Canis lupus familiaris: one gene and its partners. The protein of the gene in region 3 purifies or fractionates together with the protein of the main gene of each other region. This does not show direct contact. Links are inferred from orthologs where the notes say so. Each region holds a gene or a part of one and is shown on either strand. Other genes may lie near its edges.

Region 1 (5,062 bases), on a different chromosome or scaffold from region 3:
CCCAAAAGGCTATGGGGCCCCTTGAAGCCCTGCGCGCCATTGAGGCCATTAGGGCCTTGGAGACCCTTCGGCCAGCTGTGGTTCCAGAAGCCTGACTCTGATCACTATTGCCATCCTCTTCGCTATTCAGATGCTTCACCTGCAGCAACAGAGAGGAAGCACAATATTGTCAAACAAAGTAGATGTTCCTTTTCCCTCATCCTCTCTCTTCTGGAAGGCCCCTCTAATCCCACCCCTGGAGTAACAGCCTGATTAGACATTGGCCATGTTGAGTCTTGGGACTGTTTTTCACTGACTTCAATGCAGAAGTTTCATCTCTCTACCAGGCTAGGAACAACCTGAGATGGGGCCTGAGAATTCTCCTCTTCCTATGTCCACCACTGGCCCTTCTTGTACCACCCTGCACAAGTCACCCCACCTTTCTAGGACTCAGCTTCCTTCTCTATAAAACTGGATTACTTTCAGGATTTAATGAAATAACCTGTATGCATGTGCCTAGCTCAAGGTCTAACACATGGTAGGTCCTATGTAAATACAAACTACATTAACATTGCAGCTAAGTATGTGTACTATCTCAGTTCTCCATGACTCTGTGAACTCTCTGCAGAGAGAAATGATATCACATTCCTCTTATTGTCCCCCTTAATCTTGATGAGCACAGGGAACTTTCTAAATGTTTGCAGAACAAATGGACTAATGAAGAGAAGTGGAAAGGGAAGACTGGTGTTTATAGACGTCTTACCTTTCTGGCTTTCTTGGCCTTGACCTTGGGCCGAGTATCCTGATTCTCCTGAGCCTGGGCAGCCGCACCATCAGGCTTAGGTTCATCTGCCAAAGCCTGAGAGGCAGGAGCCTCAGTCTCCAGGGCCTTTGTACCAGCCTTTATATCAGCCACACAGCTGACCTTTTTGGTTTCAGTGGCAGGCATTGTCACAGGCTGAGGGTCAGCACTCTGCATCTTGGTGTCAGCTGCTGGACTCTTCTTTTCAACTGTCAGAACCTGGGTATCAGTCAGCTTAGTGGTAGGGGAGGCCTGAGTGGCAGCCACCTCCTGAGCCTCTGGGGCCTTTGAGACCTCTGTGGCCTTTGAGACTCCTGCAGCATTTGAGACCTTCATGGCTTCTGAGGTCTCTAGTGCCTTTGAGGTCTTCGGTATCTCTGAGACCTCCAAATTATGGGTCACTGTCAATAGGGTCTGTATCTTCAAGCCACTGTCCTCTGAAGCTTCAGCCTGCAAGAGGAAGCAGGAAAGCTCACAGACCTTCTCCCCATTCCCAACTAGGAAAATGGCTCCAAAATTCCAGGACCTCACTTCTCTGACCTATACTAACTCCTACTTACAGTGAGCTCTGCCCACCTAGACCCAACAAGGCCTCTCCTTCCTCTGAGCAGGAAGTGATGGCAGAAGAAGGCAGGCCTGCCCTCCCTCCCTACTTCCTTCCTCCATCCTTCATTCTTCCTTCTTTCCTCCCTCCCTCACTCCCTCTACTGGTGAGGGGGGGCACCCAGGAAGGAAAGTGGGTAAAGGACAAGGATGGGAGGGGTGGTACCAAGGGAACTGAGGCAGCAACGCGCTGGAGAAGAAAAGTAGTAAGGGAGAGGACAAAATGAGGCCTTACCTGGAAGCGGGTTGGACCCGTACCTTTCTCGCTTGTGTCAGACATGTCTCAAGTTGGCCTGGCAAGAGCTGAGCCTGAGGAGAGAAGGCCTGTGTCAAAGGGCCTGAACGTCCTCTCTCCTGTTCTGCCTGGAAGCTGATCCTCACTTTCCCTAGGGCCCCAAACCCAAACCCCGCCCCCGCCCCCAATGACTCCGTTCTCGGATTCAGTAATCCAAAGCTTCTAGATCTCAATTCTCTGCAGCCGCACCCTCCCCTTCTCCAGGAAGATGTGCCAGCGCGGCAGCTCTGAGGACCCCGCCCCTTTTCCCAGTGCACCCCCCCTCCAGCCGCAGACCAACAATGCGCATGCGCGTTCGCTGCGGAGGCCCACCTCAGCCCCGCCCGCTTTCCCAGCACAAGCTCTTTCTTTGAAGTCCACCATGCACATGCGCATTCGGCAGCAGCCCGTCTCCAGGCTGGCTTTCCTCTACACGCCCCTTCCTAGCAATCCAGAGTGTGCATGCGCAATGGTCCGGACTCCGTCCACCGCCCTTTCTCAACACAAGCCCTTCTCCAGGTCCGCAGTACCATTTGGTCCCGCCCCCTCCCCAACAAGCTTTCTTCTAAAATTGTCGCAGTTTGGTGGTCCCGGCCCCTCCCCTACTCACACCCACCCCAAGTCCACACTATGGCCCTGTCCCGCCCTTTTTCACAACACGCCCCCTCCAACCAGGGGCAAAGCGCATCTTGGTTCCGCCCCTTCCTTAGTACACCCCCTCCTCAAATCTAGAATGGAGCCAGTGATTCCATTTTAGGCCCAGCCAAACCGGGTCCAGTCCCCTCCCTTCCCATCCGGATGGATCCGGTACGATCCGGTCCCTACAGCAGGTTTTCTCCAGATATGAGAGGGTGGGGCCGATCCTTATTGGGCTGTGATCCAGAGCCGGGCTGGGCCCCACAGCTCACCTCCTTCTCCTTAAGTTCCAGAGTGCGTCCACGCTCCAAGCCCCTCTAAAACTCCTAGACTGCCCTCCCTGCTCCAGGCCGGAAGTGGTCCCGCCCCTTTCCGCCTCCCTAGGGGGGCCTCTGTCGCAGCCAGTCTGCCCTTCCCCCCCGCCCCCCGCTGATCCTCATTCCTTATCACCCCCGTATTCCCTCTGCCTTGCTCCCTGCTCCCTATCACCCCTCGCATTTCCTATTTTACCCCACAGAATTCCTTATTCCTATTCCTTACATCCTATCCTGTGTTACCTTTGCACCCCCTTCCCTAGTACTCCTTAACCCTTCTCTGCATTCCCTATTTTCTTCTCTGGATTTCCACTTTCCCTCAGTATTCCCCTCTTCCTCCCAGTCGGTCACTCAACAAACCCGGTTCCCCTCCTCCCCACTAGTCTCAGATCGCCAATCCTTACCGCCTACTACCCTCAGGAGTCCTGATTGCCTACATCCTGCTCCAGGTCATCTCTCCCTCAGCTGCAGTGGTGCAGTATGGATTGCCCACCTGCCTGGCTATAGGTTCGAGGGAACTGAAATCACTGGCTGCCAGGAAACCCAAATCTCAACGCCCCTCACCTTGTCCTCCAGCAAGTCCGGGATGAGTCTGCCCTCTCTCAGTCCCTCTCGAAGTCTCAGCCTCCTGGACTAGAGCTGCAGCCAGCCCAGCCCAGCCCCTTTCCGCAGCCCCCTGCCACCCCCCTCCTTCCTTGGGGGTGGGGCAAGGGGCCCAGCTCTGGGCTGTCTGACGCCAAAGCCCATGTTTATGCCACTGTACCAGGCTCAGTCTGCAGACCTTCGAACTAAAACCACCGCCTCAAAGCGATTCATTCACTGAATGTATTTATTTTCGTATCTTTATTTTTTCTTATTACAAAGATAATCATGTGAAAATTCAAATAATGCAGAAATGTGTAACATACCAATGAAAGGCCACCCTTATCTCATTTCCCAGAAATAACCACTATTAACATTTTTATATACAGTCCTCCAGATTTTTTTCCTATTCATTACTAATTATTTGGGGTTTCTCCCCACAAATGGTATCCTACACCTACTGTTCCATGACCTGTTTTTTTTCCAGTTATATATTCTAAACAGCTTTCTATAGTGCACATTTTTCTTAACAACTTCATATTATTATCTTGTATAGATGGCCCATAATTTATTTAACCAGTCCAGGATACATGGCTATGGACATTCAGATTGTTTCTCTCTCTCTCTCTCTCTCTCTCTCTCTCTCTCCTATTACAAGCAATGCTACAAGGAATATTCTGCATCTGTATATCTGTATTGAGCTTTTTTTATTTGCAGTACTTTTTGCTGACTAAAATGCTACAAAAAGTCTTCCATTTGATAAGAAATTTGTCAACTTACTCTCAAAAGGTACATGGGAATAATGTTCCCACCAACAATGTCTCTCATATGCTTGTGTTACAAATATAACAAATATTTTTCATGTTATTCATGATAACCTTTGCTATACAAAAGGATTTAATTGTTATATGATGAAATGTATCAGGTGTTCCTTTATCACGACTGGATTCTGCTTCATGCTTAAAGATGCTTTCCACACTCCTATAACAATCCCTGTTTTTTCCCAAGCACTTTTATGGCTTTGATATTTACATTTAAGTATTTGATTATTCCAAAATCTGTTTTGTAAAAGGACTCAGCTTAATTATTTTCCAAAATCACTGTCTCTTATCCTTACACCATTTGCAAATTAATCCATCTTTTTTCCCATTGATTTGACATGACACTTTTATCACATAATAAATTTACATAAGTAATTGGGTCTATTCAAGAGAACAAAATAAGATGTATAAATAATGGAAAGTAGACAGAATTATCATTAGTTACTGAGTATATGAATGCAGACCTGGAGAACCCCAAAGCATCAACTAAAAAGTTATTAGAAACCATAATAAAATTCAGCGTAGTGGTCAGTTACAGAAATAATATTCAATACCTTTCTTACACTCAAAAGTAATTCAAATGGTCATAAGTCTAGTGCTTTATGAGGTCACCTTTTCCTTTACTATAATAAAATATCAATCCCTACATTCTATGGATAATTCTCTCTCTCTCTCTTTTACACACACACACACACACACACACACACACACACTTCCCACACAAGATGGGCCTCTGTTCTCCTGATTCCTCTCTTTCTCTCAATTGTTGCTTCCTCCAAGTTTTTATCAGTTTCCTAATTTCTTGTCTCCTAGATTCTCTCCCCCATCCACAAAGGCTTTATTTCACACTAGACACCGCTCCTCCTTGCCTTCCAGTTCTAGTACCCAAATTCCCATTGCTTCCAAATCATAGCTAGCCTTGAAGGCCAAGGTAAGGACTTTGGTCTTGATCTTGAGAGCACTGAGAGGTTTTTGAAGGGGTTTAGGCTTTGATACAATACAGATTTGAGTTTTAGATAGAACACCCTAGCTGCCTAATCAATAAGAAGTA
Region 2 (3,631 bases), on a different chromosome or scaffold from region 3:
AAAGTTCAAGCCACGGCCTTTGAATGTAACCAACTCAACTAATAAACCAGCTCTGAAGGTGACTTTGTTTTTGGTGGGGTTGCAGGAAAGAGGACACAAAACCTTGTGCTCTCTACTTCCGAGGCTGGGACCTCTGTGCAAAGTTCTCCTGGAACATTCTTTGTTCCTGCCACAGCCGTTCTCATTTCCAACAACAAATGGCCTCCCAGTTAAGTGGGGGAGAAGCCTAGGACTTGTCCCTGCCCAGCTAGCCCGTGTGTATGCCCCACAGGCGGGCCATCGGTCCGAGTCCCCCTGACCCCCACTCCCTCAGTACACCTCCCGCCTACAGAGTCGTGGGTGTTACAGCTCGTACAGAATGACAACAGACACCGCGTTTTTAAAAAAACAATCCTTTAATAAACAAAATTAGTCCATCTGAAACTCCTCAATCTGTAGGGTCCTAGTCTTGGATGGGGATAGCTGCAAAATTCCAGTTCCGAAGCTGTCGGAGGCTCAGTGCAGATGGGGACGGTCGGGCCGGTGCTGGTACGGAGGTGCGAGGCCCGCGGAGCGGTCGCCGGAGAGAGCGGGCCGGGCGGCGGGGTTCGCGGGCGCGCGCCTCCTGCAGTCCCGGGGCCCGCGGGGCGCACCGCCCCTCCCCCCCTGGTGGCAGGTCCCCGCGGACGCGTTCGGCCCGAGCCGAGGGGGCGGCAGGGCGGACAGTGACGGGTCGTCCCCGCACCGCGGCGTCCGGAGAGTCCCGGCCCGGCCCGGCCCCGGCGCGTACCTCAGCCCTGCGTCAGCGCGCCGAGCGGCTCTTCCAGGCGGCGCCGCGGCCTCCCCGCGGCCCTCCCCGCGGCCCTCAGCGCGGCCCGGGCGGCTGAGTCACTGGCGCCGCGGCGGGCAGCGGCGCGCCCCCGGCCCCCTCCGGGCCCCTGCGCCGGGCGAGCGGGCGGCCCTCCGGCCGGGAGGCGGCGGGAGCGAGGGCAGGCGAGCCCGCGCGGGGGAGGGGCGGGCCGGGCGGCGGCGGCGGCGGTGACGACGCGGCGGGGGGGAGCCGAGCGCCGCGGCCGCCCGCCCCGAGCCCGACGTGGCTCAGCTCTTTCCGTGAGGGCGGTGGTGGCCCTTAAAAGGGCCTTTGTGGTGGCATGGGGGCCGGCTGCGGCGCGGGCGCCCCTCAGTACTCCTGAGAGGCCTGCGTGGCCTTCTTGCCGCCCGCAGGCGCCTTCGGCCCCACGGTGGCGCTGGTCTTCTTGGGCAGCAGCACGGCCTGGATGTTGGGCAGGACGCCTCCCTGCGCGATCGTCACGCCGCCCAGCAGCTTGTTGAGCTCCTCGTCGTTGCGGATGGCCAGCTGCAGGTGGCGGGGGATGATGCGCGTCTTCTTGTTGTCGCGGGCCGCGTTGCCCGCCAGCTCCAGGATCTCGGCCGTCAGGTACTCGAGCACGGCCGCCAGGTACACCGGCGCGCCGGCGCCCACCCGCTCGGCGTAGTGGCCCTTCCGCAGCAGCCGGTGCACGCGGCCCACGGGGAACTGGAGGCCGGCGCGCGACGAGCGCGACTTGGCCTTGGCGCGGGCCTTGCCGCCGGTCTTGCCGCGGCCCGACATGCTGCGCGAGGTAGAAGAGCTGTGAAGAGGGACGCCTCGAAGGGGGCAACGAACAGCCGCCCGCCGCAGTCCAACTGCTGCCGCGCGCGCCCAGGGGCCGGCCTTATAAGCCCCCAGGGCACACCTCCGCGCCCTCCTGATTGGCTCTCTCCTCGGGTACCCGCCTCCGGTTGGTTGCAGTTAACCCTTCAGTGACGCGCCACGGCCGAGGCAGCGCGCCCGCCGATTGGTCCGATTTGAAAACCTTTTGCCCGGGGAAAAAGGCGAGGAGGAGTGGTAGCACGCAGCCGGCCAACCCCTCCCCGATGTAGCCAATCCTTGCGAAGGGCGCCAGATTTAAACGCTACAGCTGGAGCCCAGAACCGGAAGGCAAAGAGGGTGGAGTCTGGGCCACCTCGAGGGCCTCTGGGAAACCGGTGCGGGCCCGGGATTTTTAAAGGAACGGGGTCGACACCACTCCCTTCCCTTCCTGGTCTGGTCATTCTTCTCTCCTTTCTCCCTCCTCCCATCCTGCAGAGGGAAATGAGAGAGGGAAGAAATGGGAACCCCTCCCGCTGCTCCCCCTAAAAACTTCTGTTCGGCACCAGAGAACAGGCAAGTCCAATCTTAGGGCTCTCCCTGCCACCTGAAGTATGAGGATTTCAGGGCTTATTCAACATGTTCTATTTGGTCTGTTCTTTCTGTTGACTTCTTGTTACAAGGAGCCCACTGTGCTGAAAGAAAAAAGATGGGCAGAGGGATAGGCATCCTCTTGGAGGAGGTACCTCCACCAATCCTCCCGATCTACCCTAAAATGCCCAAAATATACTTACAGGAACACCAAGAAAAAGACAACACTTTATTGTCACCACTGGGAGCACCTGGCCCCCCAATCTGCTCTTACGAATCAGAATACTTAATTTATGGTCAAATAATCAAGTGATCTTCGAGCCTGTGTCCCTCTCCCCAGCCAGGGTTCTATCCCCAGGCCCAACATATTCCTCGAGAGTCCGAGTGGTGGATAACTGCATAAAAAGCACAGTATCCCACTTTGGGAGGCCGCAGGGATGGGATAGAGAGGGAGAGCAGCAAGTTGAAGAAAGCCACAGGCAAAGTCCAATCAACAGTCAGTACAGGGCAAGACAGGCCCAGGATGTCGATCACAGCGGAACGGAATCGCTAAGTACAAAATCTGGAGAAAAGTAAGAGGTGAGAGAGGCCTGGGCCCGGAAGCTTGCCTGGCCCAGAAAGAGGCAGGCCTGAGTCAGGAACCCTGCAGACTATGCAGTGAAGGGCAAGGATTGGGGGACTCAGACATCGTAGAAGAGCCGGACAAGCTGGTACCGGATGGAGAAGGTGACAGCACTGCCAAGGATCTGTGAGGAGAAAGAAACACACCAGAGTCAGAGCCATGGAGAAAGGGAGACCAGAGCCAGCAAAGCCCTTCCCTGACCACACCTGGAGCAGCAGCAGGAGCAGAGTCAGGTTTCTCTCATGCATGGGCCCGAGAACCTTAAGGAGCAAGTTGAGGAGCGTCATGTTGTTACACTCCGTGAAGGCACCATCCTCATTCTCACTCTGGTGCACTGTCACTAGCTGCAGGCTCGCTGCTACCTGGAGGGGCCAGAGGTGGAGAGAACTTCAACTCTGCTTCAGCAATGGGGGATCTGCTTCATGCTTCCAGGCTCCCCTTGGATCTGATGCAAGCCGAGGGTCCCCAGGCCCTGAATTCCGGATGGTGGCCTAGAGCCTTACCTCCTTGTTACCCTGTTACCTTTAGAATAAAGTTGCCCAAGAAAGAGAGGCTCTTGGTCTTGAACTTGGAATAGCTCATCTCCAGTTTGCCTGTCTTGGTATTGAGTCTGCAGGGGGAAGAGAGCTTTATGTGACTGGGCCACTACTCCAAGAACTCTCCACACTGCGGTCAATTAATAGGAAGAGTACCGAAAGTGGAATCAGACAACCTGAAGATCTGTTTCCGGCTCTGCTTACCACTGTGTGATCAGAGCTGATCAGATTATGTGGGTGAATGTGCTCTGTCATTTATAAGGGCTAATTGCA
Region 3 (4,613 bases):
TTTCAGACTGAAAAGGTCTTTTTGGTAAGATAAATGAAATTTTAAGTTTCCTCTCTCCACTCTCTAATACCAAGCACCTAAACAGAGAAGACACAAGACTAAACAAAACACTGCTCAATGATAAACAACTGTCAAAGGGACTATTTCAGTATCTAACTTGAAAATGAACTATAATTTGATTACAATAATCGAAGATGCAATTTTCCTTCTACAGGTAACAGTTTTCAAAAGACAGCAATCATTCTGTAGAGGTCAACAATGGAGTGACTAGTCATCATACCCATTTAAATTTCAAAGGTTTTTACCCTTTGAGGTAAACTGATGTTTTTAATGAATAAAATTACCTGAACCATATCACTGAGCAAGTCAACATTCTTAAAAACAGTCAACCAGAATTCAGGAATTCCCTTGGGGTCTTCTTTTTCTTCATCCTTTTTCTCATCTTCAATCTTGGCTTTTTCTTTTAGCTCCTCCTAGATAAATAACAGCATAAATTATTGAATAACTAGATTAGATCACTTGATAAAATCTTACCATCTCCTAACTTACATCCAGTGATGAAGTACAGAAACCAGCAAATCCTCAATCACCAACTGCAATTTTCAAACAAGTTCTAATCCAACTGTGTAAACACTGCTGTTACCCATACCAAACCTTACTTATTGCTACTACCATAACCCTCCCAAAACGTAGAACCTATGAGCTATGGGGAAACCGTTTTAGAGAAAAAAATTTTTTAACTTTAGTTAAAAAAAGAAACATAAACTGTGCCCAAATCCTCACCCCTTGGTGTTTTTGATCAAAACATTATGTTCTCCTAATCAACCAACATTAAAATAGCAACGCTCGGGAAATAGTCATAGAACAGACACCGGATCTGTGTCACAATCCTGCCATTTATTAGTTGTAGGCAAATCACTTAGAGGCCTCTACTACTTGAAAAACAAGAACAATCCTTTGCATGTCATTAAATTCAAAGGAAAAGTTTACATGATCTATAAAATTTAAATACTAAAAAATGTAAGGGAAAAATGAATTTGGGTACAGATGGTAGCAGGGCAAACAGTGAGTGGCTCATCTGTTCTGATTATTGTTAACTCACCAACAATCTTACAATAAAATATTTCCAAGACAAAAAAAACACTACATTAAAGTTGGTACTGACCGAAATTTCGTCCTCCTCATCTGGTTTCCATTCACATTCTTCTTCCGTAGGTTCATAAATTGCATTAATGATCTCAAATCGCTAAAATGATTTAAAAAAAGAAAAGCTTGCATAAAAACACTGACATCCAAGCCAAAAACTAGCTGTTTTGCATTAAAGCTGTGTATAGATTTTATGAATGCGTACCACCAATTGAATTGCTATTATTGAGTTTTTCCAAATACCTCGAATAACCATTTTGCTGAGAGGTCTATAAAGATTAAACCATCTGCAAGGTTGGTTGTATTTCCAGAGCTTTATTATAATCTCAAATTTTAGGTAAAGAAAATAAAGTAGTAGAAATCATTACCTTATCAAACAGAGGTTGATAGAGAACAGCATACTTTCTTTCAAGATCATGAACTTCCTCATAGAATTTGGCTTCTATCTGTGCACATTTAACTTGAAGATTTTTGAGAGCATTCACTCGTCTTTTAACTACCCTAGGCAAACTGAAAGGTTGGAAGTGCACCAGTTACATAGCATTCAGAGTAAAACACTCACACTTCTATCATATTGAATAGTAAAGCATAAAAGTTAGTGAATGTTAAATCTCCTATTTGAAACAAAAGGTCTATTCAAAGTAATTAAAAGTCAAGAAATATAAAATACACAGACTTAACTAGAAAATATTTCAAAAGTGAACATTTAAACAGATACAGTAAGTTGATAAAAAGATGTAAATCACATAAATCTTTCATCATAATCAAGTTCAGCAAAGACTTGTCAGTGCTGGCATCTAAGCTGTAAAACAGTCTATCTTAGGAAGTTAAAATTTAGGGACTGACTGAGCATCCTGAGAATAACGACAATAACCTTGATTTAAAAAAATAAAGTATGTGTATCTCACCCATACCAGCTATTTTTAGGGAAAAGGAGAGGAGCATATGTATATTAGAAAAAAGGATGATATCCTATACCATTATTTCCTCTTTTAGTCTCTGTATTTAAAACTTGAATTTAGGGACGCCTGGGTGGCTCAGTGGTTGAGCGTCTGCCTTTGGCTCAGGACATGATTCCCCTGTCCGGGGTCCAGGGATCAGGTCCCACATCGGGCTCCCTGCATGGAGCCTGCTTCTCCCTCTGCCTGTGTGTCTGCCTCTCTCAGTCTCTCATGAATAAATAAATAAAATCTTTAAAAAAAAGAAACTTGAATTTACATTAAAAAAAGAATGCTATATTTCATGAAGGGACTTAATAGCTTTGAGATATAATTCATAAATCATACAATTTTCTATGGGGTATACGCCACCTGAAGTATAAGTAAACTTATGAATCCCCTACCACCCAAAAACTGTTCACTTAAGGGGATCCCTGGGTGGCGCAGCGGTTTAGCGCCTGCCTTTGGCCCAGGGCGCGATCCTGGAGACCCGGGATCGAATCCCACGTCGGGCTCCCAGTGCATGGAGCCTGCTTCTCCCTCTGCCTATGTCTCTGTCTCTCTCTTTCTCTCTCTCTCTCTCTGTCTGTCACTATCATAAATAAATAAAAATTAAAAAAAAAAAAACTGTTCACTTAAAATTGATCTAACTTCAGGGAATCTGTGTAAGAGATCCAGAATCCAGGTTAGAATTTTCTGCCATGAGCAGATTGTTGTAAATCAAATATTTCTCTTACTTAACCGCTACTTTAGTTACATTAATCAGAAGTAAAAAAACAAATTACCTATTACCAATTTTTTATTTCTTACAGTTAAAAGTAAAGCTTAATGTTTTGTCAAGGTGATGAAATAACATGGGGTGCTGCCCACACCTACACCGTATCTCAGAAAAAAAAAATGAACCCTAGAACTTCAGAACCAAGAAGAAAACAACTATTTCAGGGACTTACACACTCACACGCACACATACTACGGAGCAACTTCTGAGTAAGACTAACAACCGTACAGGGTGAACTGCCACCTGGAAATGGGCAAGAATGAGCAGAACAGGGAACAGGACAGACTGGAAGAAAGCTTTTGAAATTTTGGGTTTGCCTTACAACAGCCAGTGCCTGACCTCTTCACCCTTCACAAAGCCCAGGTGCCAGCATTCTTAGGAGTTCGTTGAGCTGAGAGCCTACAAAGCACTCCCTCCTCCACCCCTCCAACCCAGGTACAACAGATTACAACCAAAGGAGCAACTTCCTCTGCCCCAAGCAGCCAAAGACAATTGCCTGGAATTGACAGTAAACTTTGAGTCTCAGGTGACCAGACTCTATTCTTAAATTCCACGAGACTGTCACAAACCAGAGCCTGATCTTTTCTCCTCCCTCAATAATCATTATTGAGGAGTAAATCAGCCAGTGAGCCTGAGCTCTACAGCCAAAATAACTAAAACTTTAAGGAGTATAAATTTCTAATGAAAGAATGAAATACGTATCATCTGAAGCCGTATTATTAGACAGAACAATGTAAATATATTTAAAGAGAGGAGGGAAGAAACAAGACCAAGAAATCTAAAACAAAGTAGAAATATTAAATATGAAAAATACAGTAGCTGAAACAAATAACCAACAAATAAGATAAACAGGATAGGTTCAGCTTAAGGAAGTTCATTAAAGTTGGAATACTCTCCAGAAAAGCAGCAGGAAAGACAGAAAAATGATTTGAACAAAATTAGCAACAGCTGAAAGACAGGAGGTGGATATCTGAAGAAAAGAGCAATAAATTTCTCAGAATTAAAGTAATATGAAAATCCTTACTCTAACCCCTAGACAGGTGAATGATATTCATGAATATCAAAGACCAAATAAAATTCTAAGTGTGTTCAATGAAAAAGCAAATAACCTATACAGGAAAAGGAATCGGACTGACAACAGGCTTCAAAAGAAAACTCCAGATACAAGAAGAAATGAATTTTTAAGATATTTAAGAACTTTGAACTTAAAATTTTATAAGCCAAACTATTATTCAAATATGAAGGCAAAATAAAAATTGTATGAGACATATGAAGCTTCAGGAAATATGCCACAAACACTCATTACATTAAAAATAATTTCTAAGTAAAAAAAAAAAAAAAAAAAAAAAATCCGGAAATACTATGTAAGTGTGGGTGGCCAAAAACCTTGGTAAATTTTACTGTTGTCCTTGATGGGAAAAAAGAGGACTAGAGAACATATACGTGTAAAAAAAAAAACAAAAAAAAAACAGACATTAGTAAATTTAAGAAATCAATATGGGTAAATAAACTTAGATATTAGGTTAGAAGCCCTTTTACCATAATAACAAAAAACAAAATGCAGCAATTTTAATATCAGAAGACAACTTGGTTTATTTGAAGAAAAGCAGGAAAAGAGAAAGAAACATTGTACAATAAATTATAAAATAATAGCAATTATGTCCAAAAACAATACCACTTTCAAGAAATGCAAAGAGTTTAAAATTACTAATAAAGCAGCAAACTTACATACTAGAGATAAGATACAAGGA
Region 4 (4,960 bases), on a different chromosome or scaffold from region 3:
TTCAGTCATTTTTCTTGGGTTTTCTATATATAATTACATGCTTAGAAAAAAAATTTTCCCAGGTAGTTAGACTCCTTATTTGTTTCATTCATTTTTTTTTTTTTTTTACTAGATGGATTTAGAAAAATATTAAAGGAGTCTCTTATCCCTAGAGATAAGAAATACTGAATTTTATTAGTTTTTGCTTCTATTAAAATAATCATATAATTAAGATAATCATTGACTTCTTGCATAATATGTTACCTTGATTTTTCTCTTTCGGCTGGCCTGGTCCTAAGGATGATTAACATTATGTTAAGGTTTAACTCTACTATTGCCAATAGCAACAGGTCGGAGCTGCCTTCCTGTCCTTAAGGAAAAGTGGCATAATTTCACTTGTGTAATTTTAACCCTTAAGTGAAATGGAAGAAATGCATCTGAATTTTTAAGTTTTAGGGGGGAGGGTTAATTTTTAGACTATTTTGCTTCATTCAGGATGCCCAGATGTTAAGGTTGAAGTAGCCTTGTTTTGCATATGCATAATATCACATGTAAAAGTCTTTTATCTATTCTGGGAGGAAATCAAAACCTTATTATATATTGAGGAAACCAAAATGAGATAGATTATTGAATTTCCTGTTTTCAAATTAAAGTCCACATTCTTTGAGGAGGAATCGATAAACTTAAGAATACAATGATGTCTGTTTTCTCCCCCTTTTGTACCTGGGGAGGGAAGGAAGATTGAATTTCCAATCAGTGTCTTTATCTTTCATGTAATAATAAAACAATAATTAAATAATAATAGCTGAAATTTCTTGAGCACTGAGTGTGTGTCAGACCTTATCCTACAGAACTTGTGTATTAGCTGACTTGTTCTCCATAATTGTGAGGAAGAGGCTGTTACTATCCCCTTTTATAGAAGGAGAAACTGAAACAGATCAACTGACTTGTGTAAGGTTCGTTGCTTGTAAGAGGCAGAGCTGGGATTTGATTCCAGGCAGGCAGGCAGAGTATTCCGAGTCCTTTTGTTTTTTGAAAATACTGTTTTATTAACACTACAGTGGTAAACAACTTTATGCTTATGTTTTTTTATAGATCACTGAATCACACAAAGTTCAAAACCCACAAGGAAGCTTAGGAGTCTTTACATTTAATGTGTCCTTCCTGAAAATCCTTAACTGTATGCCAGTCTGTCTTCAAGCATTAAAATTTGAATATGCACCATTTTTTAAATTTATTATGTCACATTTACATAGCAAAATAATGAAGGCACAGCTAATACAAGCAAACTTAAACCCTTCTACTTCTGAGCTGGGGGTGGGGACACACACTTGTATTGGTTCTTCAAGTATTTATTTTTTCCAACATTAGCTTCATTGAAGAGTTCTGATAATTTTCACAGCTACATTCTAAAAGCTACATGACAAAAAGACTTCACAAGGATCAAACTACATAAAACACTGAATACACATGCTTTACAGGATTTGCTACATTCTACATCTTTTCAAGTAAATTAATATTTCTAGAAAGCTAGGTAAAGGGATTGAATACTTAAAACATTTTGGGGTTTTTTTTTCCACCTTTGTAAACAGACGCTACCAAGAACACACATAAACATAAGACTGTAAATAACGAACACATACGTTGACAATATTATACAGGTTATACACCCTCCTTCTCAGAACCATGTTGCTTGTCTTAAATTCAAATATTCAGAACATTCTTTAGAATGTGAAGTGGCAGTTTTCCAGACCTCATTAAACAGTACTGTCATGATCTCCATCACAGGCTTCCACAATTCCATCACTCTTCTCTGAAGTGTAAAGCTGATGTGTGGGTTACAAAAGCAAAGACTTAAAGATGAGAGTCTTCTGCTTTTTCCGCACTGGAGAATGTCCGGACTAAAGAAACTGAAGAATTAAGCATTGAGAACATGTTCATTCAGTCTTGGTCTGGGTGTTCCGTGTGTAGTGTGATGATGGTGGGATGAATAGGTTTCAAAGTGACATTCTTCACATCTACTTGACACCCTTAAGCCTCAATTGCAGTCCGTGCAGAAGAGATCATGGAAAAAAAAAAAATCATTTTAAATTTAACTGGTTTTCTTCAACACCTTTTGATACATTTATTGTGTTCAAAATGAAAAATGTGAAACGGGCTGGCCAGGATCTGATTGCTTCAATTGAACTTAATTTTAGGAACGTCAAAATTGATTCACATTGTATTTTGGTCCCAAACCTGAGCCTTATTTTTAGAAGTCCACCAATATTCAAAAAAAAGAAAAAGAAAGAAAGAAAGAAAATAGGGGGTTTTGTTTTCGTCGTCACTCTTCCTCTTCCATCTCTGGCCCCGCTTATTTCTTGGCGTCATCAGGCACTGCAGAGTGGGGACCCTCATCTTTGGCAGCCGCCGCCTCCACAGCAGCCTCCGCCGCAGCTTCCTCCTCCTCCTCCTCCTCCTCCTCCCCCTCCTCCTCATCCTCGTACTCTTCCTCGTCGTCGTCGTCCTCCTCCCCCTCTAAGGTCCATGCACACCCCTCCATCTCACCGGTGAGCTCTTGGATCTTGGCAAGTAGGGGCTTATAGATGTCGTTATACTTTTTTTCCAGAGCCTGAAATTCCTTATCAAATTTGGCTTCTATCTTATCGCAGCGCTTCTGCAGCTTTTTGAGGGCCAGGACTCGGCACTTCACCGAGTTGGGCAGGCTCTCGATAAAGTCATTTTTGGGCTTCGGCGCGTTGTCCGCGGGGGTCTGGGGCTCCTCGGCCGTCGGACCGGCCGCGCTGTCCGAGTCTCCCCCCTGCGCGCCGCCTTCCGCCATTACCTCCTCCGCCGCCTCCGCCGCCGCCTGGCTCGGCTCCGCAGGCCCCTGGTTTTCCGAGTCAGCCATGTTACAGCAGCAGCCGCGGAGCTCTAGCGTGGCTCCCGCAGACACCCGCGCCCGCGCTGCGCCAGAGCGGTCCTGCGGCTGCGGCACGCGGCGGTGACGTCGGCCGCGGCGGTGACGTCGGCCGCGCCGCGCCCCGCCCCCCTGCCGCCGCCCCCGACTGGCGCTCCGCCGTCAGCTGACGGGCGCCCGCGGGCCCTGGGGCTGCCCGCCGCCTCCCTGGCACCGCGGCTGACGTCCAAGCGCGTTCCTTAGGCGCTCGCCCCCGCGGAGCTGGGCTGGGAACGGCAGCAGGTGCCCGAGGCCCCCTCTTCGGGAGCCGCTTGGGCGGCCTCCGCCCTCCTGAGTCCGCCGCTCTGCCCCGCTCGCGTCCTCGGACCCCACCTCGGGGCTGTCGGCCTCGGCCTCTGCAGCACCGCACAGCTGGCCTTGGTCTGGCGTCAGTGGCTTCGGCCGCCTCCCTTCCAGACGGCGGAGGCACGGGAGAGCGGACCCTCCTCTGCCCGCCCTTCGGGGACGGGGGCCTGTGTCGGAGAGGGCAGCCCACGCGGGCAGATGCCCACCCAGCGGCCTCGGTCGTCCTCAGCTTAGTGCCCTGTGTGTTGGCGGCACGTCTCTTAGCAAGAGGCACCCTGGAAGCAGTTTTGCAGCCATTTGGATAGGGAGTCTAAGGACCCTTGGTATTCTGGGGTGTGTTCTGGAAGTTCCCTCAGATCCTTGTCCTGAGGGCAGGAGTAAAGCTGGAGAACCGCCAAAGACCGGCAAGGCCCCCCCACGCCCGGGGTAAAGCGTGTGTTCAGTGCGGCTGTTCGTAGGGGCGCCCCCGTGTGCTCTCAGACGTGGTCCCCCAGTGCACTCCACGGTTCAGTCCGCTTTGTGGTCTTGCTGCTGATTTGCATCTGAGAACACTTTTTCAGAAAGGTCCTAACTAGAGAAGTCTCCTTTTCTGATAGCAGGGTGAGTAGTCGCTTTATGTTACTTCTTCCCCCTTGCTTTTATCAGGCCGAATGTAGCTTCTTGAATTAAAGATGACTGCACATACTTGAGGTATGGAAGAAGACGAATGATCCTTCCAGGGATTCCGTAGGAATGTTTTCAAATGCGACAGGAATTGATTTAAATGTTTTTCATTCACCAAATTGGGACTTACTAAAGCTCTTCCATCAAGCGTATGAATGTTAGGAAATTACTTCCCAGAGTACATTTGATGTTATCTTACGGTTTTTATGAATATTAGTTAATATGTAAAGCACTTAATGCTGACACGTAGCAACCACTTGGTGTGTGTTTTTTTTTTAAACAAAATAATTGCATTCATGAATATGCAAGGTAACCTGCATTAATGTTCCCTTTTAAGAAGGACATTTTTGTGCCCTTCCCCAAAGAAAGGAACCATTTACAAAAAGCCCAATATATTCCCATTAGCAGACATTCTAGGGTGTTTTTGTTTATGTATTGGTGATTCTTGTTGTCTGTTTACTTTCTTAATTCTGTTCCAGTAATTTACTTTCCCCTTTTCTGTTACCATTTGTAGTGACTGGGTTTTATTGGTAAGGCTGACATATCCGTTTTAGCTCCGACTGAATTTAATGTGATAATACATCTATATTTAGTTGGTGACATTATACATATTCTATATATCTCCCATTGTTAGGAGGTGGAAGCATCCCCCAAACTGAGAATGATTCCCCAAACTGAGAAGGCACTTTGAGACCAGAAGATGAAGCAAGCCACTCCAAACAGTTTACACAGAGCTTTGTTCAGGGTAACTTACTAATAGAGGGGATTGGGTGGGGGATGATCCATGGCAGCTGCATAGTTACTCTCTGCAAAATCCAGACCATAGTGCCAGATTCTAGAGAGTGAGGAGCCACACAGGAGAGCATTATGGTGAGTCAGAGGGTTTGCATACATCTCAAAGGGCTTGCATGCACCTGATAGCTCACCTTTAATTGGATCTTGTGACACCACCTTTGCATCAGGAAGGGAAAGACCAAGGGACGCCTGGGTGGTTCAGCGGTTAAGTGCCTTTGGCTCAAGGCATGACCCTGGTCCAGGGATCAAGTCTCACATCAGGCTCCCTGCAAGGAGCCT

What was found.
Region 1: the proteins of NAP1L1 (region 3) and MAGED2 purify together in Homo sapiens (affinity purification with mass spectrometry; 4 studies listed by BioGRID and IntAct, counting the BioPlex papers as one, with this or other methods). This does not show direct contact. The link is inferred for Canis lupus familiaris from reciprocal best matches to the Homo sapiens genes NAP1L1 and MAGED2.
Region 2: the proteins of NAP1L1 (region 3) and H2AX purify together in Homo sapiens (affinity purification with mass spectrometry; 3 studies listed by BioGRID and IntAct, counting the BioPlex papers as one, with this or other methods). This does not show direct contact. The link is inferred for Canis lupus familiaris from reciprocal best matches to the Homo sapiens genes NAP1L1 and H2AX.
Region 4: the proteins of NAP1L1 (region 3) and NAP1L5 purify together in Homo sapiens (affinity purification with mass spectrometry; 3 studies listed by BioGRID and IntAct, counting the BioPlex papers as one, with this or other methods). This does not show direct contact. The link is inferred for Canis lupus familiaris from reciprocal best matches to the Homo sapiens genes NAP1L1 and NAP1L5.

Annotation. Positions count from the first base shown.
Region 1 is NW_023330544.1:39,615-44,676, forward strand, and holds the start of MAGED2 (melanoma-associated antigen D2), read right to left. Parts: upstream 3,303-5,062; 5' UTR 3,173-3,302; intron 3,087-3,172; exon of another isoform or gene 2,992-3,086; intron 2,660-2,991; exon of another isoform or gene 2,567-2,659; intron 2,185-2,566; exon of another isoform or gene 1,694-2,184; 5' UTR 1,665-1,693; coding exon 1,620-1,664; intron 1,232-1,619; coding exon 743-1,231; intron 140-742; coding exon 1-139. UniProt on the Homo sapiens protein: Regulates the expression, localization to the plasma membrane and function of the sodium chloride cotransporters SLC12A1 and SLC12A3, two key components of salt reabsorption in the distal renal tubule.
Region 2 is NC_049226.1:14,789,862-14,793,492, reverse strand, and holds H2AX (histone H2AX), read right to left. Parts: upstream 1,695-3,631; 5' UTR 1,592-1,694; coding exon 1,160-1,591; 3' UTR 1,003-1,159; downstream 1-1,002. Other genes in the region: DPAGT1 (UDP-N-acetylglucosamine--dolichyl-phosphate N-acetylglucosaminephosphotransferase), read right to left, coding at 2,881-2,946, 3,029-3,184, 3,345-3,432. UniProt on the Homo sapiens protein: Variant histone H2A which replaces conventional H2A in a subset of nucleosomes. Nucleosomes wrap and compact DNA into chromatin, limiting DNA accessibility to the cellular machineries which require DNA as a template.
Region 3 is NC_049236.1:19,277,363-19,281,975, forward strand, and holds part of NAP1L1 (nucleosome assembly protein 1-like 1), read right to left. Parts: intron 1,657-4,613; coding exon 1,515-1,656; intron 1,247-1,514; coding exon 1,166-1,246; intron 474-1,165; coding exon 345-473; intron 1-344. UniProt on the Homo sapiens protein: Histone chaperone that plays a role in the nuclear import of H2A-H2B and nucleosome assembly.
Region 4 is NC_049253.1:27,994,991-27,999,950, reverse strand, and holds NAP1L5 (nucleosome assembly protein 1-like 5), read right to left. Parts: upstream 2,968-4,960; 5' UTR 2,870-2,967; coding exon 2,333-2,869; 3' UTR 1,003-2,332; downstream 1-1,002.